Linked DNA regions of Rattus norvegicus. The protein of the gene in region 3 binds, or shares a complex with, the protein of the main gene of each other region. Links are inferred from orthologs where the notes say so. Each region holds a gene or a part of one and is shown on either strand. Other genes may lie near its edges. The genes, in order: Nup98, Nup107, Nup188, Nup85, Cetn3, Ranbp2 and Nup214.

What was found.
Region 1: Nup188 (region 3) and Nup98 share a complex: the UniProt entries of both Homo sapiens proteins name them as parts of the nuclear pore complex. The link is inferred for Rattus norvegicus from reciprocal best matches to the Homo sapiens genes NUP188 and NUP98.
Region 2: Nup188 (region 3) and Nup107 share a complex: the UniProt entries of both Homo sapiens proteins name them as parts of the nuclear pore complex. The link is inferred for Rattus norvegicus from reciprocal best matches to the Homo sapiens genes NUP188 and NUP107.
Region 4: Nup188 (region 3) and Nup85 share a complex: the UniProt entries of both Homo sapiens proteins name them as parts of the nuclear pore complex. The link is inferred for Rattus norvegicus from reciprocal best matches to the Homo sapiens genes NUP188 and NUP85.
Region 5: Nup188 (region 3) and Cetn3 share a complex: the UniProt entries of both Homo sapiens proteins name them as parts of the nuclear pore complex. The link is inferred for Rattus norvegicus from reciprocal best matches to the Homo sapiens genes NUP188 and CETN3.
Region 6: Nup188 (region 3) and Ranbp2 share a complex: the UniProt entries of both Homo sapiens proteins name them as parts of the nuclear pore complex. The link is inferred for Rattus norvegicus from reciprocal best matches to the Homo sapiens genes NUP188 and RANBP2.
Region 7: Nup188 (region 3) and Nup214 share a complex: the UniProt entries of both Homo sapiens proteins name them as parts of the nuclear pore complex. The link is inferred for Rattus norvegicus from reciprocal best matches to the Homo sapiens genes NUP188 and NUP214.

The regions. Positions count from the first base shown.
Region 1 is NC_086019.1:165,930,367-165,933,866, reverse strand, and holds part of Nup98 (nuclear pore complex protein Nup98-Nup96 proprotein), read left to right. Parts: coding exon 1-87; intron 88-3,175; coding exon 3,176-3,500. UniProt on the Homo sapiens protein: Plays a role in the nuclear pore complex (NPC) assembly and/or maintenance. NUP98 and NUP96 are involved in the bidirectional transport across the NPC. May anchor NUP153 and TPR to the NPC.
Region 2 is NC_086025.1:55,281,410-55,285,636, forward strand, and holds the start of Nup107 (nuclear pore complex protein Nup107), read right to left. Parts: upstream 2,801-4,227; 5' UTR 2,733-2,800; coding exon 2,725-2,732; intron 757-2,724; coding exon 665-756; intron 261-664; coding exon 174-260; coding exon of another isoform or gene 149-173; intron 1-148. UniProt on the Homo sapiens protein: Plays a role in the nuclear pore complex (NPC) assembly and/or maintenance. Required for the assembly of peripheral proteins into the NPC. May anchor NUP62 to the NPC. Involved in nephrogenesis.
Region 3 is NC_086021.1:34,002,812-34,006,311, reverse strand, and holds part of Nup188 (nucleoporin NUP188 homolog), read right to left. Parts: intron 3,187-3,500; coding exon 3,117-3,186; intron 2,825-3,116; coding exon 2,757-2,824; intron 2,312-2,756; coding exon 2,116-2,311; intron 1-2,115. UniProt on the Homo sapiens protein: Component of the nuclear pore complex (NPC), a complex required for the trafficking across the nuclear envelope. Required for proper protein transport into the nucleus.
Region 4 is NC_086028.1:101,308,435-101,311,934, reverse strand, and holds part of Nup85 (nuclear pore complex protein Nup85), read right to left. Parts: intron 2,381-3,500; coding exon 2,310-2,380; intron 2,067-2,309; coding exon 2,023-2,066; intron 1-2,022. UniProt on the Homo sapiens protein: Essential component of the nuclear pore complex (NPC) that seems to be required for NPC assembly and maintenance. As part of the NPC Nup107-160 subcomplex plays a role in RNA export and in tethering NUP96/Nup98 and NUP153 to the nucleus.
Region 5 is NC_086020.1:13,823,591-13,827,890, reverse strand, and holds the start of Cetn3 (centrin-3), read right to left. Parts: upstream 2,801-4,300; 5' UTR 2,713-2,800; coding exon 2,696-2,712; intron 1,166-2,695; coding exon 1,030-1,165; intron 1-1,029. UniProt on the Homo sapiens protein: Plays a fundamental role in microtubule-organizing center structure and function. As a component of the TREX-2 complex, involved in the export of mRNAs to the cytoplasm through the nuclear pores.
Region 6 is NC_086038.1:27,016,314-27,019,813, reverse strand, and holds part of Ranbp2 (E3 SUMO-protein ligase RanBP2), read right to left. Parts: coding exon 1-3,500. UniProt on the Homo sapiens protein: E3 SUMO-protein ligase which facilitates SUMO1 and SUMO2 conjugation by UBE2I. Involved in transport factor (Ran-GTP, karyopherin)-mediated protein import via the F-G repeat-containing domain which acts as a docking site for substrates.
Region 7 is NC_086021.1:35,655,879-35,659,378, reverse strand, and holds part of Nup214 (nuclear pore complex protein Nup214), read right to left. Parts: intron 3,324-3,500; coding exon 3,172-3,323; intron 1,251-3,171; coding exon 1,052-1,250; intron 470-1,051; coding exon 399-469; intron 1-398. UniProt on the Homo sapiens protein: Part of the nuclear pore complex. Has a critical role in nucleocytoplasmic transport.

The DNA.
Region 1 (3,500 bases), on a different chromosome or scaffold from region 3:
TCCCTTCCAGAGGAGACACTGCTCAGGAGATCTGCTCCCCTAGACTCCCCATTTCAGCCTCCCACTCCTCAAAATCCCGCTCCATAGGTACAGTATAAAATGTGCTGGTTCCAAGGACACTGTCAGCTCGATTCTGCTTTTCATATTTCTCCTTCTAAGCTGAATGGATTTCTTTAGCAGAACCTCTGAAAACTATAACAATAGGCATAATTTTTTTTTAAATACATACTATCCTCTTCCTACCATCTATGGCAGGGAGATTGCTGTGAATTTGAGGTTACCCAGAACAGCATAGCAGGACCCAAGGAGCTTGGCTCAACAGCTGAGAATACTTGTTCTTGCAGAAGACTCCAGTTTAGTTCTCAGAAACCATATGGTAGCTAATAACCCTCTCTTCTCCATTTTCAAGAGATCTGACACCCTCTTATGGCCTCCTGGCCACCAGGCACACACATGGTGTATATACATATACATACACTTAAGCACTCAGGCATACATACTAAATAATTTCTTAAAAAAGGGGGGTGGGGTCAGTGAATTAGCTTAGCTGATAAAAAGTACTTGCCATCAAGCCTGATGAACTGATGATCTCTAGAACCCACATGGTGGAAGGAGAGAAATTACTTCCTGAAGTTGTCCACTGACTTCCATGTATGCACACATGCACACACATTTTAAAACAGAAAAGGTAAAAGTGCTGACATGGCAGGGTTTTAAGCATCATAAGTACCTCTTTATTGGGAAACCACTTGTAAACCACCTCCCTAAAGTTGTCTCATTGAGTGAGAGCCCTGTTTTAGTCACTTGTGAGTGTGGATTACATAGTAAGCTCTAATCTAAACTCTACCACAATACTTAGATTCCACAAGTTGACCATGTTCCTTTTATTTAGTCCTTACATTATCTTACTGCTTTTTTTGATAGTAAACTTCAAGTATCTACTTTTCCCTAAACCTTTGAAAACCCCTGTGGGGTAATCACATATTAAATTTTAAAACTTTCCCTTTTCTTACTAGGATTGCAGATTATACTTTATAGAGTACTGGCTGGAGAGATGATGGCTCAGCAGTTAGGAGTATTGACTGCTCTCCAGTGAGTCTGGGTTCTCAACACCATCTGTGACTCCAGTCCATGATACACAGTGCCCTCTTCTGGCCTCCTCACATACTACATACACATGGTGCACGGGCATGCAGGCAGAAAAACTTTTTTTTTTTTTCTTGAAAAATGTCAAAAAAAAAAGGTTGTGGAGTATTGATATCAGTGAGTAGGCAATTGTAATTCAAAATACTTTGAAAGCTGAAGAACTAAATTTTGTTAATGTTTTCTGAAAAGGTAAATAAGGAACAGCAAGAAGGCTGAGCAGGTAAAGATACAAGTTTGATTCTTAGGACCCACCTTGTAAAGAGAGTGAACCACCTCCCTAAAGTTGTCCTCTTACCTCTCCTTAAGTTCATAATGTCAGGACTTCGGGGTTTTTTTTTGGGGGGGGGTTGTTTGTTTTTGTTTGTTTGTTTGTTTTTAAGATTTTATTCATTTATTATATATAAGTACATTGTAGTTGTCCTCAGACACACCAGAAGAGGGCATCAGATCCCATTACAGATGGTTGTGAGCCACCATGTGGTTGCTGGGATTTGAACTCAGGACCTCTGGAAGAGCAGTCAGTGCTCTTAACCGCTGAGCCACCTCTCCAGCCCAGGACTTCAGTTTTAATCTATCTGAGTTTTGTGGTTTTATTTTGTTCGGGTTTTTGTTTATTTTGGGGTTTTTGTGGTTGGGTTTTCAAAACAGGGTCTCTGTGTAGCCTGACCCCAGACTCACTGCCTGCCTCTTCCTCCAGAATGCTGAGATTAAAGACATGTGCCACCACCCCCAGCTGTTTTTGTATTTTACTTATATATAAGGCTATATTTGTGCAAATATAATATCCTCAAAATTTTTAGATTTATCTGTGTATTGATTTTTTTTCTCTGCATGCAAGTATGTAAGGCAGGTACATGCAGTGCCTATAAAAGTCAGAAAGTGTCAAATTTCTTGAAAGTAAAGTTGTGAGCCACCATGTGTGCACTGGGTATCAAATTCAGGTCCTCTGCAAGAGTAAGAAGTGCTTTTAACTGATGGGCTGCCTTCTCTCTAGCCGTTACAATGTCCTTTTAGCTCAGTCTCCATCCCCTATAGCTACTTACTTTACCCTTTCCTTTTTCTTGGTCCCCATACAAGTTTTCTTCTACTTTCATGTCATTAGTACATAAATAATATCAGGAAAGTGCAATATCTAAGACCCATAAATTAGAGAAAACATGCAATATTTGTATTTTTGGAACTGATCTAGTTCTCTGTAAATTGCTGTCTCCAGTTGCATCCATCATTTTAAAGATAGTTTTATTGCATATAGGATTTCAGTAAGGATATGACCCTTAGGAACAGTTTTACCCAGTCTCGTCACTTGATAGTGCCATGGACTTAGAAAGGCCCCCTTTTTAAGCCCAGTTTCCTCAGTTTTAATGTGAGCAGCAATAACACTTCCCGATCAATGTTACTGAAAAGTGAAGTGTACACATAATTGTCTTTAATATTGTTGTTAATCCTTGAAGATTCTTGTTTTTGTTTCTCCTTTATAAAATCATTAAAGTCCTTGCTTTGATTTCGTAGCTGAAAAGGTGATTATTGTGGACTGAAGAGATGGCTGAGTGGTAGGGAGCTTATACTGCTCTTAGAGAAAGCACAAGTTTGGTTCCTAGCACCCACATCAGGCAGCTTACACCCACCTGTAACTCCAGCTTCCAGAACGTGGGACACCTGGCATCCACAGGCAGCTACAGTCCTGTTGACATACCCACAAACATATACATAATTTAAAATTTTTATATAAATATTGTGGCACACACTTTTAATCCTGCACTCAGGAGGCAGAGTTCAAGGCCCACCTGGTCTACATGGTGAGTCCCAAGACAGCCAGGTTATACAGAATAATCTTATCTGGAAAAACAACTAGTGCACACCTTTGATCCTAGCACTCAGGAGGAATAATCTTGAGGCTAGCCTGGTCTTCATAGGACTTAGGCTACTTGTCTTCAAAGAAAAGTGATTATTATAAAAATCTGTCTGAAAATTTTCATCTTTAGCGAAGAAGCAAACTGGGTTGTTAAGTGTCTTTTCCTCCTTGTTTCAGTTGGTGGGTTGCTCCAATCAAAATTTGCAAGTGGAACTTTTCTTTCACCAAGTGCCTCCGTGCAAGAATGTCGCACACCCAGAACATCATCTCTAATGAACGTCCCATCCACATCCCCCTGGTCTGTCCCTCTACCCCTGGCCACTGTGTTCACAGTGCCCAGCCCAGCCCCTGAAGTTCCCCTAAAAACAGTGGGGATACGCAGGCAACCAGGCCTAGTCCCTCTTGAAAAATCCATTACATATGGCAAGGGAAAACTCTTGATGGACATGGCCTTATTCATGGGACGTTCATTTCGGGTTGGCTGGGGTCCCAACTGGACTCT
Region 2 (4,227 bases), on a different chromosome or scaffold from region 3:
GTTGATGTAAAGTACAGTTCCTTGTTCATAAGCGTTTGGATAACTGGAACTGTTATTATTTATGCTTAACTCCTCATACTGTAGCTAAATATTCTATTAGGAAATTGTATAAATGCCAGCTGGAATTATGACTACTATTATTAAATACTTTCAAAGCATAAATGAAATCTTACAAGGTTGTCGAAATGAGCTTGGAGTTCGAGGAATAATCTGGCTTCTTGGTGTAGTAGTACCAAAATTTTCATCTTGGTTGGCCTGAACTTAGGAAGAATTAAGGAAAGTTTTCCATGCAGAGAAAAAAAAGTCGTTAAAGTTAAGCACAGATTTACTACACAATATACATGAATACATTTCTCCAAGAACAAAGCATTTTATGGGTACCACCTTTTCTGTACACCGTTGTTAAATCCATCTATCATTTAAGTTCTCAGGTGGGTGTTAGATAATAAGTTTTGACTCTAGTTGACTACTAGGACATACTGGTAGTGAAGCAGAACATGCTTTTCAGAGAAACAGGCATCTTGAACTCACGGACGATCACGGAGAGCATGGATGTAGCAAGTAAAACACCAGTGGAGGTGAGCCAGTTTTGTCACAGATAATGTTTAATGACTGGAAGATCCCAGGCACTCTGCAATCTGCATAATTCTTACGTGAAGGATACTTAAAACTCTTTTGTGAGCACTATGCTTCCGTGCAGTCCTCGTAACCTCTGGGTCTCGGATCACAGGGGATGACATTCCCCCGAAGCCACTCCTACAATAGTATAAATAATCTCTTAGATGGCATCTTCAAAGGACTATCGTTACAGTTAGAGCAAAGGATCTGAATCAGTCAGAGGACAGCTCACCCCAACAGGCAAGTCTTCTATATTTTCCCAACAATATCCTCTTGTTTCTAAGTCCTGTTTATTCCCCAAAATCCCACCCAGTGTTCAGCTACGAACCCTTCAAGTAATTTTTTTCCATGTAGACTAAGGATGTCTCCAACACTGTCATCTGATGGTTTAAAAACTAAACCGTGGGGGTTGGGGATTTAGCTCAGTGGTAGAGCGCTTGCCTAGCAAGTGCAAGGCCCTAGGTTTGGTCCCAGCTCCGAAAAAAAAAAAAAGAAAAAAAAAAGAAAAAAAAAAAAAAAAACTAAACCATGGGGGTTGGGGATTTAGCTCAGTGGTAGAGCGCTTGCCTAGCAAGTGCAAGGCCCTAGGTTTGGTCCCAGCTCCGAAAAAAAAGAAAAGAAAAAAAAAAAAAAGAAAAAAAACTAAACCATGGGGGTTGGGGATTTAGCTCAGTGGTAGAGCGCTTGCCTAGCAAGTGCAAGGCCCTAGGTTTGGTCCCCAGCTCCGAAAAAAAAGAAAAGAAAAAAAAAAAAAAAAAAACTAAACCATGTAGCTTTTTTTCTAGTATACCTTTCTTCCACCTGAAATCTCCCGCTAGCTTCCTCTGCCTTACAGACTGAAACTCACACTTTCCAGTGTAATATTTACAATTCCATCCCAATTTAGCCTGGCCCACGATGTTCGTCCAGACATACGGCTGTGAGCATTCAGCCACACAAGCATGAACATTTTTCATGACTTTATATCTGAGTATGTTTCTTTTACAGAGGTCTATATTTGTTCCCCTGTCACCTGATGTACATCTACTTAAGTTAAATAACAGCTTTATGGAGATATAACATTCCCAGCTGGTAATCTGTTTCTCTCTTGCTCTTTGCTCTTTTTTTTTTTTCTCCCCAGAACCTAAGGCTTACTATGCAAGCACTTAACCACTGAGCCACCACTGAGCAGTATTCCCAGTCCCATAACTTGGTACCTTAATCTCTCACAGGCTTACTGCTCTCTAACAAAAGAATGACACTATATCCCTAGCCGCATAACTTGGCTCTATTTAACTATGTAGTTCCTTAAATCTCTTACAGGCTCACTGTTCTGAATAGATAAAATCCTCAGGGGATTGTTTAAAACTAAATGTGCTACTTAAAGCTTAAGGAACACACATAAGATTAAACCCTAGCACAATGTTTTCAGTGTCAATATGCTATTATTACTCCAAAGACCAGCTAGCAAGTTACTTTACAGGTTTCCCTGAAACTCCCACGACAGGGGGAATTTAACGTCTCCTTCATTTATTTTCCCCGCAGTACAGCATAATACATCGTATTACATTGCTTGGCTGTCTTCACTACACGATCTACTCTCCAATGCCAAGTGCCTTGAACAACCCATCTTTGTCTCAGGCGGGCACAAATCACCTGATCACATAAGAAATTTAACTACCTGGTGGTGGCACTTTAAAAGTCTAGGCTGACCACCATGATACCCAATAATGTACAACTGATACGAAATAATAACCACAATAAAACCACTCAGAAAATCTGGAGACTGAGCTGTCAAGAGTGGCTGATGGCTGTGACCTCGGACTGCTCACTTAGCATTTCGAATGCCGGACCACCACCGACCCCGCACACTTCGGAGCGAACGGCGAGGAGCGAGCGCCGACGAGACCCCGGAGGCGCGGGGTGGAACGCGGGGATACGCATTCTCTGCGTCCCCGCTCCAGTCACGTCAAGCGCCCATCCCTCCACCAGGGGCCAAATCCTGGCAGGGTGAAGGAATGACTGAATGGGCAGACCTCGGCTCCTCCTCCGCTTCCAGCAGAGGTAGTTAGGTCGCTAACAGGCGAGAGCCACAGTCTTGGCCGAGGCGTCCCCATCAGGACTGACCTGTCCATGGCCGCAGCCGTCTCCACCTAGATAGAACCTTGCAACTTTGATTACAGTCCAGCCACCGCGTTTCAGCCTTCCCGCTCTCCGGAAGCAAACCCTTCGACCCGGAAGCACCGCTCTGGCTAAGCCAGCCCCAAAGAACGAATTTTTCTTATTCGGCGCATGCGCAACTTTCGTCTACTGTCGCAGGTCCAGTGGCGCAGGCGCGGAAGTGTGCCAGTGCGTGACTGCGTGGCTGGGCGGTGTTGCCAGGCAGGAAGGGGGCGGGAACGAGGGCGGAGTCTGAGTGTGGTGAGGAGAGGGAGTTGTGGGCGTGGTCTGGGTGGGGGCGTCCTTCTGGGAAGCCGGAAATCTGTAACCTGGACTGAGGAATTTGTTGTAAAGAGTCTGGCCTCAGCGTTCCGGTTTGCGGTTCTGCGCCACTCTACAGGATCTGGCCTGGCTCGTGGCGCTCGTCTCTTTCCCTAAACTGTGGTGTAGCCTCACTGGACGGGTTTTGAGGTTGTTTCCTATTGTAATTTATTTCTCTTTTACAGTATCAGCCGTTTTTTTAAAAGAAATCCAAAAAGAGCAAAGCATAAAAAAACCACATGGGTTCACGGCCTGTAATACCAACATTTGGGGAAGTTGAGGCAGGAGGATCACCATGATTTTGAAGCAAGCCTGCACTAAGAAAGCCTGACTATTACTATTATTATTATTATTATTATTATTATTATTATTATTATTTTAAATTTTAAAAGTTTTGGGGGTGAGGATACTTACTCATTCCAGCACCTCAGAGTGTTAGGTCTCAGGCCCTCCAAATGTCTAGAAATGAGCTCTAGCTGAACCATAGGATTTCTGGCAGTTAGATAAAAGCCAGCATTACTCAGGACTTTGTGAAACGCGTTTTCCATTGGTCTTCTTAGCTATTGACCTCACAATCCCGACTCTGCACTAATTTCTATGTTCTGTTCTCTCATCTCGATCACAAAACTATCTTGAAGTGCTCTAACAGGCCCAGGCATTGCAGACACAACACCAGCAGGTGTGACCCTCTCCCATAGCCTCTCCCTTGCTAAACCGTTAGATTACATTCCTAAACCTACCCACCAAGGTCTCTTCCCTTATTTGGCCCCTTATGCCTGACTAAAACTCCAAGGTCCAACTATCAAAATCCACTAACTGGCTAATGTGTCCACTCAGGACTTACCAACTCACCCTAACAGAGTCTTTTCTCCTTAAAGACCACTCCTGCAGAGGAACCTGCTGCTTTCTTTGGCAGACCTGGAGGGAACACCTTTTCCTTTGTGCTGAGAATTTGGTGTCCTGGTGTGTTCTGTGCTGACCCCCAGGCTACTTCCTATCTCCTGCTAATGAGACTTTTCCTATCTCTGGCTTCCCCAGCCCTGGCTGTGTCCAGTTTGTTTCTCTTTTCTCTGTTCTGGACACTTCCAGGTGCCTCTGGATCTTTGCGCTCTCACTCACATTAAAACCCTTGTCCCTAATGGAGCAGTC
Region 3 (3,500 bases):
ACATATAGTGTCTCTATGTAGCCCTGGTGGTCCAGTAACTGACTTTGTAGACTAGGCTGGTCTCAAACTCAAAGATCCACCTGCCTCTGCCACTGGAGTGCCAGGATTAAAGGCATGTACCACCATCGCTCAGCACCCCTCCCCCCCATGCTTTCATACATTACGTCACAACAAAAGCCCCTCCCCCCAACTCCTCTGAGTCCTCCTCCCCCCTTCTTCTCCATTTCCATTAAAAAAAGAGCAGGCCTCCCTCCCAGGCATATCAATTAGCACAGCATAACAAGTTGCTTTAAGACTAATTAGAAACTCTCCTATCAAGACTGGAAAGGCAACTGAGGCACCAGGAAAAAGATCCCAAGCAGGGAGCTGAGTCTCTGTGAGGCTCTAGGAGCAGAGTTAGCTGATTCTGCAGGTGGGCCATCTTTCTCCTGCTGTCCTCACCATGTGACCAGGCTTCCCTGCCTACTACTGCTTATCCTGTAGCGATAGTTCTGGAGTTTTGATTTCTTTAAACAAACAGAAATGTTTAAGAATGTGCTTTTGTTTTACTCCCAGGTGTGGAATATGGGGGTACTTCAGAGAGTCCACAGCCCCTGACTACGATTTGCCTTGTAGTCTGGCAGGGTTAAGGTTTGACAACTGCAGATAGTTTCTGCAGTTGTGTGGGACACTGGGAATCCTGGGGACTTTTCAGAGGGCATATAAATGCTACAGTCCCATAGGTGGGTTGTTGGGTAGTCGTGTGTAAAGAAGAAACAACAAGAAGAAATCAGATATTCTACGGCAAAGATCAAACTTGCCCCTAGGAACTTGTATGCCTCTAATCAGCAGGAAGTAGTCTAATGATAATGCTGCCTCCTGTCTGACCCCTGACTTTTTATTCAGGGATCTCTTTCCTGTCTATCCTTTCCTCTCTCCTATCTAGTGTTACAGGGTTGGAAGGGTAGAAGAAAAGGGGAGGAGAAGCAGCCAAAGTCCAGCTATAATATCTCTGGTGCCTGCAGGTATGGAACAAATATTTTAGTAGTCATGGCAGGGAGGGAGGGAGGGAGGAAGGGAGGGAGGGAGGGAGGGAGGGAGGGAGGGAGGGAGGGAATTAAGGTTCATCAGGTCAGTTTCCAGAAGGCAGAGAACAGAGGTACAACTTAAGAACTGCTGTTTGCTTGAACTCCTTTTCTTCCCCTAGAGAAGGGGCTCACTGTGTAGCTCTAGCTGTCCTGGAACTCACTCTGTAGACCAGGCTAGCCTGGAACTTTCGAGATTCACCTGCCTGCACAGCGAGTACTGGGATTAAGGCTGTGCACCGCCCCAGGCTACTGTTGTATTCGAAAGGCAGCAACATGGACATTCCCCTATCAGACAGGCAAGCCTTGCAGTGGTCTGCAGGCTCAGGGGTCTAAAGGCAGACTGCATGCTGGAGAACAAGTCAGACAGATGGGCAAGGTTTTTGGAATGAGGAGACCCATGCCAAGGTCCAATTGTAATTAAGTAAGATAAGGTCCAGATGCCTTGAGGAAGAACAGTTCAACACCACGTGCTATAGCAAAACAAACAGTGCCAAACCGAAAGATGCCAAGAATGGTGCAAACTCTTCCCAAACACCAGCTTTCTCTCTATGCTCACTGGTAAGGAAGGCACTTGCTGCATAAGCCTGATGGCCGGGGTTCACATAAAGGTGGGACTGACCCCCAAATCTGTTTCCGACCTCCACACATGTGCATACACTAATAATAAGTAAAAAATTTTAAGACTCACTATACAGTGAAGAGACAATGGCCTTCGTCCTTTTCCTAGAACCAACGGAAAAACACAGCACTCTAAGAGATCTGGGCCTACCGCAGCTGCAGCCTCAGATGAATCACAGACATCTACAGCATCCAGAAGGCACAGCCCCAGGGGCAAAGGTGCTCCCTAGACCTATCCTTCAGGCTATCTGACGGGTTTGGAACTGCTTCTGTGTCCTGTCCCCAAGCCTGCCCATCCTCATCTCTTGGCGTACAGTGTCTGCATTTCAGGGACGAACTCTGGTTTACTATCCTAGGAGCTGCACGAGCTAGGCAGCTCAGCAGATCACCGCTTCCCACTAAAGCAGAGCCAGGAGGCTGGGAGGCTTACGTGACTGGTAGCAACGATGAGAAGCGTCCTCCAGGCGGACACCAGCATCTGATACTCTAGCAAGGACGTGCAGCTGTTGCCCTCTGTCTCAGCCATGTAAACTGCCAGAGACTTGACGTACCCCGACCAGTAGGCAAAGCGTTTCTCACTGGAAAACTTCTTGAGTGTATCTTTTAATGACTGGTCCAATGAACCCCTATACAACATACAAACCAGAGTCAGGGTTCAGAAGTGCATGGAGCTGAGATGGGCACATGGCAGCCAGCTCTAGGGTCAGGTCCCAAGGAACGAGCGAAACTGAGGCCTTTTCAGAAAAGCCTCTAACTCCATCAAATCCCAGCAACCCAAAACCTACTGCACAACTCTTCTGACAGCATAAATGCCACCAGTGCCCTGGTCAGGACACTGACCCTCCATAAATGGGCCTGACCATCCTCTTGTGTGCCCTGCTTACCGACCACGCATTCTGTGATAGGTCCCCACCATCTCCCACCCCCCCATCTTTGGTTAAAATCCCATGGGAGGGGGCTAGGGACATGGCTCATTGGTGAAGCACTTGCTCAGCATGAAAATGCCCAGAGTTTGAGCCCTAGTACTAAATAACAACAACAACAACACCCCCGGAAGGGGGACGGACTCACTTAACTACATAGTAGATCTCCAAACATATTATCTTCATGATGAGGGCACAGGTTTCCAGGATGCTGGGCTGTGGAGGGAGGGAAAACACACCAATCACATGTAACAAACCTCCACACCCACCTGGTGCCAGAAAGGGCCTAACGCTCAGAAAACATTAAACTCTGCTTCCTGGGAAGCGAAAGGCAGAGGCCACTGGACAGGGCGCCGTGTCCAGTGTGGAGTTGCTAGAGCAACAGAGCAGCCATGTCCGTCTGTTTCCCAGAGGACAGGAGGCAAGCACTGCTCTGCAGATGGGGCTGCTGTAACCTGAGGCAGGGTCCTTTCCTTAATGCCTCTGCCCTGCCCTCCACAGAGCTCACCTCAGATGTCTCTGAAGGAGGAGAGAGAGTTCCAAACAGCGGACTCGTTAAATTCTCCCAAAACCTGGGTCTAGGATAAAAACACGTGTTGAGATGCCTCTGGTCCCCCATGCTGGTATTTTTTCATGCTTTAATATCCCAAACCTAAAATGTTTCTCATAAATCAATTATTCTTATGTAAACATAAAAAGTCCATAAATAAAACTGCATCTTCCACTTAACAAGTGCAATTGGGAGCCAGGCAGTAGCTGCACAAGTCTTTCATCCCAGCACGTGAGAGGAAGAGGCAGAGGCCAGCCCACTCTACAGAGTGAGTTCCAGGACAGCCAGGGCTACACAGAGAAACCACCTCAAAAAACCCAAAACCAAACCAACCAACCAACC
Region 4 (3,500 bases), on a different chromosome or scaffold from region 3:
CCTACAGCAGGAGTTCCCACCAGGCAGCCCAGCAGAAGATGTCAGATAGGGAGATAAAAACCTGCAGAATGCTAACACTGGTGATTTTATTTTAAGGTGAATTAGAAAAGTAAACTAGCATATCACACGGATGCTCTTGATGGATTGTGGGTTAAGAAGGCGCCTCATTTGAGTAAAAAGAAAAGGTAATTTTGAGAAAGTCTGTCAATAAGAAAAGTAAAACAAAATTGGGAAGTTAGAACCAGGACAGTGGCCCACACACCTTAAACCTGGCACCCAGGAGACCTAGACAGGAGCACCAAGGGCTCCATGCCTGTCTGGCCTGTAATCCCAGCACTCGGAATGGAGGGGATCAGGACTTTAGGTAGATAGGCCAGTCAGTCAGTCAGTTAGTCCATATGCCAAGGACTGAAACTTAGGAAAGAGGCTATTAAAGGCTGCGCCAGATGCTAAAGAAGATCTCAGCAGTGAAGAGCACTGGCTGCCCTGGCTGCTCTGGCAAAAGGCCTTGGTTTGATTTCCAACAACTATCTGTTACTCCAGTTCCATGATACCTGCTTCTGACCTCTGCAAGAACAGCACAACACAATGCACAGACATGCAGGCAAAATACCTCTACACACAAAAGAAAAGTTAAATTTAAAAAAGAAAAACAAGGGGTTGGGGATTTGTCTCAGTGGCAGAGCACTTGCCTAGGAAGCGCAAGGCCCTGGGTTCGGTCCCCAGCTCCGAAAAAAAGAACCAAAAAAAAAAAAAAAAAAGAAAGAAAGAAAAAGAAAAACAAAAGCAGAGACCAGGGCCAGGTGTGGTAGCTTATACTGTAAAGCCAGCATTCAAGCTTCTACAGTAGAAAGATAACACAAGACCACAGCCAGCTTGGGCTACAGACTGAGACCCTGTCTCAACAACAACAGACAGCAGGAGATGGCTCTGTAGTTAAGAGAATCTGGAGGGGAGGGGGATGTTTGCCCGGTAACCGGGAAAGGGAATAACACTTGAAATGTATATAAGAAATACTCAAGTTCATAAAAAAAAAAAAAAGAGAATCTGCTGTGCAGACATGAGAAGCAGAGTTTGGGTGGCAGCACACGTGTAACAAGCTGGAGACCTGAGCACACTGAGGCCTGAGTTACAAAGGGAACAGAGAAAGGAGGGTCCCCAAGCTTGCTGGCGTCCAGCCTAGGCAAGAAGCACAACCCCCAGGTTCAAAGAGAATGAGCAGAGTGAGAGCAGACATTCAGCACCGTCTTCTGCCTCCACAGGTGCACTTCTGCATGCACAGGTGCACTTGTGCACACACACACTCAATAAACACACACGCAATACAGATATGTTTTTAACAGGAGACATCGACTGAGGTTCTAGCCCAGCAACAGTGGACATACTTAGCACACCTACGATACTAGAGCCAAGACCAGGCACTGCAAAAACTGAAAGAGCAAAGGCTGGCTGCTATAAGATGCTCCCACTAAGATAAAGGAGACCTGGACCCTGCCTTTAGGAAGATGGACATCCCCACGTCACCCTCCTTCAGTTCAGTCATCACCAGCCCTTGCTCGAAGGGAAAAACACACTGTGCCTATCAGAGACAGTGTATTGTCCCCTGATCATTAGTTAGAAAAGCACTGGGATCCTACTAAGGAAAGAGTGTCATATATGTCAACTTCTAGCCCTGCTCAATTATAACCACTTGCTGCTCAGCAAAATGTCGAGTTCATGAGACTGAGCGGCAGTCCTAAAAGCTCGGTTCTCCATCTCACATGACAACTCACAAACACCACGTGTTAGGACTCATCTTTCCACAGGAAATGAAAACCCAGTATTTATCAAGTAGATCCTGTGTTCCCACGGGCTAGACCTTGACGGGAAGACCAACTTTTAAAGCCACACTTGCCATCCCAAAGAGCTGCTGGTCCACCTCGAAAGGAGAGCCTCCTGTAACAGTGACCACAAAGCCACCCTAGGCACTAGGGACACAAAAACCACAATGTTGCCAATACAATGAGAACAGCTACCTCTTACCTGACTGCTGAACTGCCGGCCACTGGCTGGGTCTTTAGCAGCAACTAGCAGAATACAAAACACCTTAGGTCAATCAACTGAACTGACTGTATCCCGCCTCCTCTGCCCTCAGACCTCTCATGACTCCTGCTGTTTCTTCCACCACCACCCCCATTTCCATGTGATCACTGATGCATCTATCACATATCAAAACGAGGCCCTGTTACACACTGCAGAGCAGCCTCCTGAAAGGCCACTGGAGCAAACAGCACCAGACAATGTACTTCAGTTATACACAGGGTCCTTACTTGCAACCTGGTGCATTTCTTCCATACAGGCACGTATAACTGACCGGTAATTTTTACTCACTCGAACCAATCTACAAAAAAATGAAATGACATAGGAGATGACATCGACCATATCTTGATGCTAGAAAGAGAAGAATCAAAAGGAGACGGCTGGACTGTTCTTGCAGGAACAACCAGATTTGGTTCCCAATCCCCACATCAGGTGACTCACATGAACCTGCAACTCCAGTTTCAGGAGATGTGAAGTGCTCCAGTATATATAAACTCACACACACACACACACACACACACACACACACACACACACACACAAACGGCTAGAGATCTGTCACAATGATTTTAAGAGAGCGTAGTACTGTTGGAAAGGGCCAGAGTTCAGTTCTCAGCACCCATATCAGGTGGCTCACAACTACTTTGGTTCCAAGAGATCCAATGCCATCTCCTGGCTTCTACAGGTACCTGCACAATGTGTACACACACACACACAGTTAAACATAAACCACGCCTGGTCTGCATGGACGGCTCAGGCTGAAAGCACTGCTGTTGTAGTCAGGCCTGTGGCATATTTTCTCAGTTGGTAATCGATATGGGGGGGGCCACCCCTAGCTGGGGGTCCTGGATGCTGTAAGAAAGCAAACCCAGGGGTTGGGGATTTATCTCAGTGATAGAGCACTTGCCTAGCAAGCGCAAGGCCCTGGGTTCGGTCCCCAGCCCCCCCACCCCCAAAAAAAGAGAGCAGACCCAGCAAACCACAGGCAGTAAGGCAGCATGCAGCTCTCCATTGCTCCTCCACAACTGCGAATGCCTGCCCCACAGAGCCCGGAGTGCAATGCTCCCAAGCACTGATGAAAGCACACCTGGCAGCCGTGTCCATGATCCCAAGCTTGAGAAGTGGAGGCAAGAGGACCAGAAACTCAAGAATACAACGGATTTGTACACACACAGGCTGAATCAGCAGAGCACACACAGATTTGTACACACACAGGCTGAGTCAGCAGAGCACACCCCGGGTGTTCGAGGAGACCCAGCTTCACCTTCATCTACTTACGGAGCTCAAGCAAAGGACACACCGAAGAAATAAGTGAATAAATAAATAGGAAAGGAAAACAAATCCTAGCCTGGAGGTCAGGCCCAGTGACGTGGCTCAGCAGCTGGGCGCTCAAAGGAAGCAAAACAAATTCTGATTCCTCG
Region 5 (4,300 bases), on a different chromosome or scaffold from region 3:
ACACTGGACAGGAAGAACTCATGCTATGTGGAGGAGGGGAGCAGCAGCAAGAGAACAGTGGGTTAGGGAATGAGCTAAAGGAGGACCTCAAGACTGAGGCCAAAGCTTCAAAGTCTATTATTACTTTTAAATAGTCTATCATCTCGCTACATAGATTCTACCCCTATAATGTTAAAACTACTAAATGAACTTTTAAGGGTACTTAAAGAGATCAAAATGTGATCCTTCTTACTAGGCTGAACGTGAGAAATGTGTTCATAACCAATTTCCCCTTCCCTCTTTACTAGTAATTAAAGCCTTGGGTAGGACATTTTCCTTCTGCACGTAGCAACATTAGGCATCAGACAATTTATATCCTTTGTAACAGAGAAGAGTGTACTCTAAGAGTGTGCTAGTATTATCTTAAAAATTAAAAGTCAATCTCAAATGTCTGAGCAAAGTCAATGATCTCTCCATTTCAAAACTGTCAGTAAGAGTTCTCGCCCTAAAATCTTGAGGACCAGAGTTCAAATCCCCATCACTCATGTAAAGACAGGCATAGTTGTGGAGACAGCAGCGATCCCCAGAGTTCACTCTCAAGTGCTGAACTTCCAACTCAGGGAAATAGCCTGTCTCAAGGCAGTGGAGTAGAGTGATGGAAGATACACAGGCCCTATTCTGCCCACCACATGATACACAAGGGGATGTACAGGCCAGCAGGGGCACATGCATATGCCAAAAAATTTTGTTTTGTTAAAAATCTGAGCTATATCATCACACAGAAGAAAACAACTGTAGGAAGAACATGCTAAGAACTGTCCCTTTACTGGGTGAATGGAAAAGTTAGACTTCCCATCAAGATGCACTCTTACACTTAAATACAAGGTTCTAGAAGCCATACTCCATTTTTACTCCGTTTTCTTGTAGCACCTGTGGGTGGGCACTACAAACAGCCTCACAGTTCTGAAACAAGCTTCTAAAGTAGACTTTAAAGCAACAGGCACAAACGCAATTGAGTTAAACAAAAATGGATCTTAAATACCCTGTTACCTTTAATTCATGATAATCTATGGCTTGGTCTTTGTCGGTATCAAACAGTTCAAAAGCATCTTTAATTTCTTGCTTCTGTTCTTCAGAGAGTTCTCTTCGTTTTTTCCTTTTTGTTTTGTCTACTACAAGCTCACCTCTAGGACACAGAAAAATGCCTTTAGTCTACTTTAACCCAACTTAGGACAAAGAATCATTTTCTAAATTTCAACAGAGTAGTCTGGCACATAAAGAAACTGAGCCTAAGTTAACGTCCTGTAGTCCAAATGTACTTTTATAACCGAAATCCTAATCAAAGTTGAAAGCATCATACATATTATTCCTGTCATCTACCAAGAACATAAAAATAACCAAAAAAAAAAAACATACAAAAGTGAAATTCACAAATGACAACCAACTCACAATTACTACAAAAATCATCCATAAAACTTAAAAGATTACTTTAGCATTCTAAGTCCAAAATGTTTTTAGATTATACATTTCTAACAGTGCTTTGTGGTTTTATTCCACTGATATTAGCCAGGCAAACTATTAAAGGGCCTAAACATGCAAATACTAGGCGCCCAGAATCGCAGCATCTAATACTCGTGCTTAAGTCCACGACGTGATGTTTAAAAGTGTTTTAACTCTCACTTAACATGTAAACGATAGGTTAGACGTCTTCATTTAAAAACTCTGAAGTTTAAAGGAAATCTAAAAAGGGCACTTGGATCTGAAAATGTCTGCCTTAAGAGCTGCCAATGCAAAAAGCAGTCCAAATGTTTAAACGAGGATACGACACAACACGTGTATCAGCACGTTTTAAAAGATGGAAGCTTTAAAACCTCAAAATCTTAAAACTCGGCTGACTGTAACAGCGTCTCGTCAGGAACGCCCTCCGGGTGGACCAGACGTGGGAGATCAGTGCTGAGCGGGTGACGGTGGCAGCCAGGAATCTTTCTCACGTGACCCCAGCTCACACACACACACACACACACACACACACCCCCAGGCTAATGCGCGGTCACACACACACACACACACACACACACACACACTCGCCACACACCCACCCCAGGCTAATGCGCGGACACACACACACACACACACACTCGCCACACACCCACCCCAGGCTAATGCGCGGACACACACACACACACACACACTCGCCACACACCCACCCCAGGCTAATGCGCGGTCACACACACACACACACACACACACACACTCGCCACACACCCACCCCAGGCTAATGCGCGGACACACACACACACACACACACACACACACTCGCCACACACCCACCCCAGGCTAATGCGCGGTCCGGGGGCGCCTTTAAGTGTAGATGGACAGGGTGAGGAGCCAATGGGGAGGGGGGATGTCCGGAAGTGACTGGAGGGTGTCACGGAAACGAGATCCACCCAGGACGCCCAAAGCACAGCGTGCCACGGGACCCGGGCAGAAAGGCGAGCTCTCCTGTGACTTTCCGGAGGAAGCAGGCGGCCAGGCCCGAAACCCGCAGATGCGTGAGGGAAACCTCGCGAGACTTCACTCGGGGAGCGGCGCTGTGGGAGGCGGGGACCGCCGAGGTCTGATGCTCGGCACTCCTCGTCCGCTCCCGACTCGGCCTCCCTTCCACGCCCTCCCTGGCCCCTCTGGGGAACGGAGGCGCGGCCTCCTCGTTACCGACCTCAGAGCTAAACTCATTTTCTCTTCCGACAGAGGTGTTCCGCTCAAGGACTTTACCACGAGAACCGCTCAACAGCCACCAACCTCCACGGCCTCGGGGACCACCCACCTGACAGAAGTTTCTGGGTGCGATTGGCCGAAATTGCCAACAGCCGGCCCATTGGGGCGGAAGCGTCGATTGTCTTCTGTTTCCATTGGTCAGCATTCATGTCAGTCAAGTACACATTTCGCCCTGCTGTCTGTCTGACCCCTTGGATTGGCCAGATGCTTTCCTGAATCCTTTGCGCGCCTGTTAAGTCACCACGCGGGGTTCAGGCAGGCAAGGCTAGGCTCTACGGGTGACATGGTGCTGGAGTTCCGAGCACGCGTGCACAGCGTCGACCGAAGGAAGGGGAAGAAGGCACGGCACAAGCAGCCTGCTCAGACGGAGCAGTGATTGAGGAACCAGGTCTACAAAAAGATGTACAATTCTGGGTGGCTGGTACACCCGAGAAACTTAAATCTAAAGGTGATGTTCTCCAATCTTAGTTCAGTAACGACCAAGCTAAGCATTCTTCCCCGTACAGCTTTCCCAAGTGATTTTAAGGCAGACTGGATTAGTCTTTTCATTTTGTTGTTTTGTTAGGTCATGTACAGTGAGACTACCTAAACCATCCTTTTCTTCTGTGCGACTTGCAATGTATTTGTTTGCTTCTGCTCTTCACTTTCTAGTGCTGTAAACCTTGTGTGTGCATTCTATCTCCACTCCCCACCAAGCCTCTTGAAGCTTACTTCGATCACCAAGCTGCTAGACCGACTGTCCTCAAGGCCACAATTCCGTTTACACGAATATTTGTACCAAATGAAATATCTGGAACTTAGGTGTTCCATAAATACTTGATGCGTAAAACGAAGTCTTATTGTGGAAAACTTGGAAACTCCTGAGCTAACCAAGCAGTTCTTATAGGCATAAATACAATAAACTGGGGCTAGGTGTTAGAAAAGGGAAATACTATATCTAAATTTGTATGTGAAGGAAGGACACTGGGTAATTGGCTGTGTATGAGTTAAGCCTGGAGTGTAGATAGAAATTTGACTAGAGAGTTGGGATAGAACTAAAAAGTAATAGCTAAATGGTAGCATTCCCAAAACCAAAGTAGAGAAATGAAGAACTTGCTGGGCGTGGTGCTACATACTTTTAATCCCAGCACCCAATAGACATACAATCGGATCTCTGAGTTCTTTACATTGTGAATTCCAGGCCAGCCAGGACTAGTAGTGAGACTCTGCCTAAAATATAAAATTAAGTACTTTTATTTCTTAAATATTTAATGTTAACTATTTAGTGCACAGATATGAAGTTAAGTTAAACATTGTACAATTACCAGTGATTCATAAGTGACTGTTCTGGAGGCTGTACATAGATCATAGTGGTATGATAGGTAGAATAATAGCTAAGGCTACATCTTGGTATCCTGAAACCATAAATATGGTACCTAATAGGGGAAAAGATGTCTACGAGTCAAATTAGAATCCACACCTTGAGATATAATGTTAAAATGGGTCATGAGAGGGAACAGAGTCTAATCACAATGTCTAATTCTGACGAGTACAGGACTTTTACCCA
Region 6 (3,500 bases), on a different chromosome or scaffold from region 3:
TGGATACTTCAATTAGATCAGGTAAGGGAACAACAGGTTCAAAGTACTGTCCATCTCTCTCTTCTTCTTGAGTAACATCAGACTCTTCATCAGTGCCAACTGAAGTTCCACTCTGGTTCAACTTGGCAGGAGACTTAGATGGACTCAGAGCAGATTTAAAACTGAAGTTAAATCCTGTAGTTGACTCACCAAAGCGGAAGAGGTTTTTCCGCACAGGGCTGCTTGCCAATGGAGAAGCATGAACTGAGCTGCTGCTGACACTGTCATCCAAGGCGTCTTCCCGTAAGTCATAGTTATCCCATTCTAAGGCGGGCCCAGTGTTATCAGGGTTTTGCTTGACTGTAGTGTCTGAGGCACTGGAAGCATCTGCACCTGAACTTGTGTTCTCTTCCTCAGTCACTTTTGCTTGATCATTTGTCAAAAATGTTTTGAAATCTTTCAGTCCGCTCTTCATTTCCTCAGCTCTTTGTATTAATTTAGCAGCCCTGCCAGTATCTACAAGTTTATGGGGTGTCTGAAGTGGAATGTCTAAGAGAAGTCTTTGACACTCCTCAAATTTCTGCTTGAATTCTTCAGCTAGTTCTGGCGTTTTAAACTTTGCAGCCAATTGTTCCAGTTTAGCATCGCCATCTGAGAAATCACTGGCTAGCCACATCCATGCTCTATCTGACCCTGAGAGAGGCTTCAGGTTCATCGTAGTGGTTATCCAATGATTGGCACAAACTTTTAGTACTTGTTCTCTTCGCATCAGCATTCTTAGTTTACCATTGACTTCATTTTTGAGAATTTTTAAGTTCCCCAAACCTCTTTCTTTCCACTGACTTATCTCAGCATCAAATCTAAATAATTTCACCCTTTGAGAATACAAAACTTTTTCATCTTCTTCCCCTGTTACAAGTTCCACTTTTTCCGGCATCTGCACTACTGGTTCAAAATGGATGTCATCGCTGTCCTCGGTCTTATAGGCATCGTCATCTTTCTCAAGATCAGAAGTATTTGCTTTCTCAGCCACTTTGCCACTTTGTGATGAGAATAATTTTTCTCCTGCACCTGAAAATCCCTTGAAATTAGGGTCTTTCTTGCCAAACTGAAATCCTTCTCTTGAAGTTGACTTTGCAAGATCTGCAAAGGTGAAGGTGCTGCTTGTCTGACCAAAGACCACACCACTACCATTCTTCTGACCACTAGTATCATGAGCTTGGAAACCAGGATCATTTTCAAGATGTTTCTCACTCTTCTTCTCTTGATTTCCCTTCTCCTGAATGCCAAACTTAAACCCATCAGCAGATACAGGAATGCAAAAACTAAATCCATCCTTGATTGACTTAAATTCTGTATTAGAAGAACCCTGAAAGGTGAAGGAGGGTGTTTTTTCTTGATCCACATGCCCAAATTTAAATTTCTGCTCTGATATGCCAACTTTAAAATTCTTTTCTGGAAAGTTACTTTTGAATTCTGTTCCCACTTGACTTCCTGCAGATTCATTTAACTGTGACTTTGAGCCCACTGTGAAAGCTGAAGGAGCTTCTGCAATAGGCTTATGAGTTGGCTTGGAGGCATCACAAGACACACATTTTAGGGAAGAGCTCTCATTTTGTACAGAACAAACAGTACACTCCCACTCGCCTTCCTTTCTGGTAAACAAGCCTTCAAAACCACACTTTGGAGATTTGCTTGTCTCTGAAGAGGCAGGAGCTGATACAGCAGATGTAGGCTGATTCTGCTTATTTGGATTCTGACAAGCAATACATTGAGAAGCACTTGCTTCATTTCGGACAAAACACAAGCTGCAATCCCATTGTCCTTCCTTCTTGGCGAACATGCCCTCAAATCCACTCCTGGGAGGCTTAGTCATCTCTGAGGTACCAAACTTGAAAGAGGGAAGTACTGTAACAGTGGTAGATGAACTGGGTTTAACTGGATTCTGACAAGCAACACACTTTACAGCATTTGCTTCATTTCTCACTGAGCACAAACTACAATCCCACTGTCCTTCTTTCTTAGCAAACATGTCATCAAATCCACTCTTTGAAGTTTTACTTACATCTGAAGTGCCAGCCTTAAAAGAAGCAGGTGATGAGACAGGAGCCTGTTTTGCTGGGTTCTGACAAGCAACACATTTTGTAGAGCTTGCTTCATTTCGGACTAGGCATATACTGCAATCCCACTGACCTTCTTTTTTAGAAAACACAGACCTGAAGTCACTGTCAGCAGACTTAGAAAGATCTCCCTGGCCAAATTTGAAAGAAGTTTGAGCAAAGGAAGACCCATTTTTGTTAGCAGACTTTGTGTTCTGACATGCAATGCACCTAGATACAGTGGGTTCGTTTCTTACTAAACAAACACTGCAATCCCAGTGACCTTCTTTATTTGGAGTCATCAATGCAAATCGATCTTGAACATTTTCTGGGCCAGTTTTAGAAGCAAAGCCATTTTCAACTAATGGTGAACCTAGGAGCTCTTTGCCATTCGTTGGTTTTGTATTTTGGCATGATACACATTTCGTAGCAGTTGCAGCATTCTTAAACGAGCAGCTGTTACAATTCCAGAAAGGCCCTTCCTTCTTTACAATCTGGAATTCAAAGTTCAAGTTTCCACCATCAGATTTGCAAATGTCCTTGTTATCCTGAGTTGCAGGTTCTTTGACAATTCTAAGAGTATGATTTGCTGCTGTAGAGGCATTTGTTCCTAAGGCTTTTAAAATGTTCTGGGCCTCTTCAAATTTACACTTAAATAGTGCTGCTTCCTCAGGAGTTTTGAATCTAATTGCAAGCTGTTCTGGTTTGGGCAATTCATCTGCATAATCAAGGGCATGCCATACAAAAGATCTATCTGAGCCAGCATTTGGTGTCAGTTTCATATCGGGGCTTATATAATGATTTGCACAGATCTTTAATACTTGCTCTCGTCTCATCAGAAGGCGAATTTTACCAGATGTTTTGTGCCTTAGTATTTTTACATTGCCTATCCCACGTTCCTTCCATTCTTTGGATTCACCATCAAAACGGAACAACTTTGCACGATTGCAAAAGAATTCTTCTTCATCTTCCTCACCCGTTTTTACTTCTATCTTGTCAGGAAGAGGTACCACAGGCTCAAAGTGAGGACCATCATCCTCTTCATCTCCATGAGCACTTCCTCCATCTGTTTCATGACTTTTATTTGCCAGTTCTGAAGTAGGTGTTGTAAATATGGACTTTCCTGGACCGTGAAAAGTAAACATATCATCACTTCGACGAAAACCAAAATTTTTCTGCTGATTTGGGCCCATGTTTTCTGTAAGTGTACTTTTGCTTCCAAAACTGAATGTATTCCGAGACCCACCAGTTTGAGCTGATATTGGTTTTAGTCCACTATAGCCATCTCCTTGTAAAGGTTTATCTGAGGTCAGGAGACCTAAAAGACTTTCACTGTTACTGTAAGCTGTTGAAGGAGACTGTGTCACTACCTGTGGTGATGAAAATGTGAAGTCACCGTCATTTGATTTGAAATTTGAGTTA
Region 7 (3,500 bases), about 1.7 Mb from region 3:
GATTGTGAAGTGAAGGAATAGTACCTAGCGTAGGCCACATTTCACTTTAAAGGAAAACAGAAACAATGCGCGTCCAATGGGTGAACTGGATGAGATCCATGAAAGGGAGGAGATGGAGCCACTCACAACTGTGGCATCACTGGAAGGACATAATGAGGGATAGATCAGAGTCAATCTTCTCCATTTACAGAGTCAGTATAATGAAGATAAATTACTTTTTATTTATTTTGTAGTGCTAAGGATTGGACACAAGGCCTCACACATGCCAGGCAAGCACTCTAACACAAATATTCCTAAACTGCTCATTAATACCACAAAAGAAAGGAAGCCACCGAGATGTCCCCAACCACCCTCAACAGTGGTTAAATGGGAAGTTCCCGTGCAGAGCAGTCACTCACAGGAAGATACTGGACCACAGTTCCATTCTGCTTTCCCACGGCCAGCTGCTTTCCTTTGGGGCTCCAGCATACTGGGGAGGAAATGCTGCCAATTAAAACACCCAAGAAAAGAAAGCAAGCCCTAAGGTCTAGACGGCTATACGATCACCACCAGGAAAGGCCATGAGAGATCCCCAGGCACAGTGGAGAAAGTACAACCACTTTAACAATACAAGCAAATCAGGACTTCCCAGCAGGCCGCTAACTGAGAGCTAAGAATGCTTCTCCAGCAGACTTTTGTAAGACAAGGAGAGTGGGTGTCTTTAAAAGATCAAGGAATCACTGTGTTGTTTCTATTCATTACTTCTAGTGCTTTATGGAGGTACAAATGACTTTCAGATGGCCGCTCTTTTAGACTCAGAAACAATTATTCTCAGTCTTAAATGAGCTGTGCCAAAATACTTCTTTATCTCGATAGCCCAGACACATCAAATGAACTCACGCATGCTGTGGGGCTTCAAGACCACTGACTATAGAAATAAAGAATATTCTCAATTTCTACCCACTCTCCACCCCCCAGCGGTCCACACAAAATTCAAAGCCTTCCACTTTACATGCAGAAGTTAATTTTTAATAGCCTGTACTTTATGGCTGGAGAGCTGCTTCTTACTCACCACACGTGACTCCCGATGAAGGAGGAAGTGTGGCGCACACTTTCACCACATCCGTAACTTGCAAGACAGAAATGCTGCCATCAGCCAGACAAACTGCTGCCATGGAAGGGACAGTGGGGTTCCACTTCATATCATTCACCATCCCGCTGGCACCGTTTGAAAGCTTGTGATAGGTAAATGGGCGTTTCAGTGGTTTAGCCTGTTAAAATAAGAGCCCAGATGCTAAATAAATTAATAAATTAATAAACACAAAGGCATTTAGGATTCAGAGGGAATGATGGAGTACGCATTCTTTCTTAAATCCAGCTCTTTATTTCTTCATAACCAACTCTGTATAGCGATCTATTTGTTACAAACAATCAATGAAACTTAGAAATGGCCACCAAGTACTCCAGCACAGAGGGACTGCTGGCAGGGATATGCAAATGCAAGAGTCAATAAATAGCAGGTAGAACACTAAATTCTTGGATCTGCTTCTTTTTTTTTTTTTTGGTTCTTTTTCTTTGGAGCTGGGGACCAAACCCAGGGCCTTGCGCTTCCTAGGTAAGCGCTCTACCACTGAGCCAAATCCCCAACCCCGGATCTGCTTCTTAATAACCTTAGCTAGGCTTTTTGATTTCTGTCTTGGTCTTTGGTGAGATGTTTTATTTGTTCTGTTTTTTTAATATATATTATTTATTTAATGTATGTGAGTACACTGTAGCTGTCTTCAGACACACCAGAAGAGGGCATCAAGTCCTATTACAGATGGTTGTGAGCCACCATGTGTTGCTGGGAACTGAACTCAGGACCTCTGGAAGAGCAGTCAGTGCTCTTAACCATTGAGCCATCTCTCCAACCCCTGTTTTGTTTTTTGAAGCAGGTTCTGGTTTACATGGCCTGGCCTAGCCTCAAGCTCACTGCTTTCCTGCTTCAACCTAGAGGCCATCAGTGTGTGCCAGCATGCTTGTCCATGTAGATCTCTTTGAAATCTGCCTTTCCATCTGTAAAATGAAGACAACTGTCTCTACTATGGAAAACATGGGAAAAAAACACATCATAAAATACCTAATCCCAAGAAGACCATCGTTCTACACTGCTACTGAACAACCTGCCTGGACCAAAGAATCCAACATCAGGAGATCCTACATCACATGGGCAGACCCTCGACCCTCTCACCATTAGCTCCATGGCTTCTCACAAAGCAAATCTCTAAGAAGCCTCATCACTTGATAGCCTTGTGTGTAAATGAGGCATGTTAACTTTGTACAGGAAAAATTTTAATTTACTAAAATAAATAGTTCTATCTCAAAAACTTATGAGTCTATATTCAAGGAGTATTTTTGTAACCTCTATTTTTTTTTTGTTTTTTTGTTTTTTTCGGAGCTGGGGACCGAACCCAGGGCCTTGCGCTTGCTAGGCAAGCGCTCTACCACTGAGCTAAATCCCCAACCCCGTAACCTCTATTTTAATCCAGAAAGGTTTCACACATTAACCTGAAATACAGCTTTTTGGTCCAAAGGAAACTCCAATTCCAAACTCCAAAAGACTGTCTCCTCTATCCAGAATGAGCTCAACCTGGACTAGAGAAGGACTGCTGGTGGTTAGATAAAGGACAGCCTCCCTTGGGAACTTGTAAACTAGTTCCCATCTCCCAAAAGGAGTCATGTCCCTTCATCTGAAGGGACATAGTCTATTAGCATCTCAACGCTCATGCTGGCCTCCAGGCTCCTTCTGTATCACAAGTACCCATCAGAGTCCATGCTCCTTCCTTACTCTATCCCCTCCAGCTCCCCAGGGTCCCTCCCCAGCTACTCATTCTCACTGCAGCCTGCTACTCTTGCCAGGCTCCCCACCTCGCCTCACTGTGTTGTCTCTGTTCTCCAGTTCCTGCTGGTCTCCTCTTCCACAGATCCTGGCCACATCCACTCTGATGGCCATCATCAGTCTACTGCGCTCTCTCTCTGCTCTGGACGCTGCCAAATTCCTCTGAGAGTTTGCTGTCTTATATCTACAATAACGACATTCCCCCTCACCACAGCATGGAGCAGCCATGTCATCGATTTATACACCTTCCAAGTTGCAATGCCCATGAGGGAATTCCTGCTTCCATGTTGAAAATACAGTTTACAGTAGCCTACCTGATTTGAAAATGTGCGAACATCAAAAAAGGCTATAATGGAGCCATATTCACTGGACATCATGCACGCAGAGAGTGTAAGGTTATCACAGCTCAGTGCCAGGTGATGAACTGGGAATTTCATAGGGACATTCAAGCCTTGGATTGTGTCAACTATGAAAGCAAAAAACACAAAGCAGAAAACAGAGTGTAATAGGCACAGTCATAATCCTTTAATCAAGTCAACCTGAAACACATTTTCATCTATGTAAACATATACCTGTTGGGTATAGATAAAAGAACTTGTCTTAAGAACTGCCATTTTAAATTCAGACTCCATTTTACCTATAG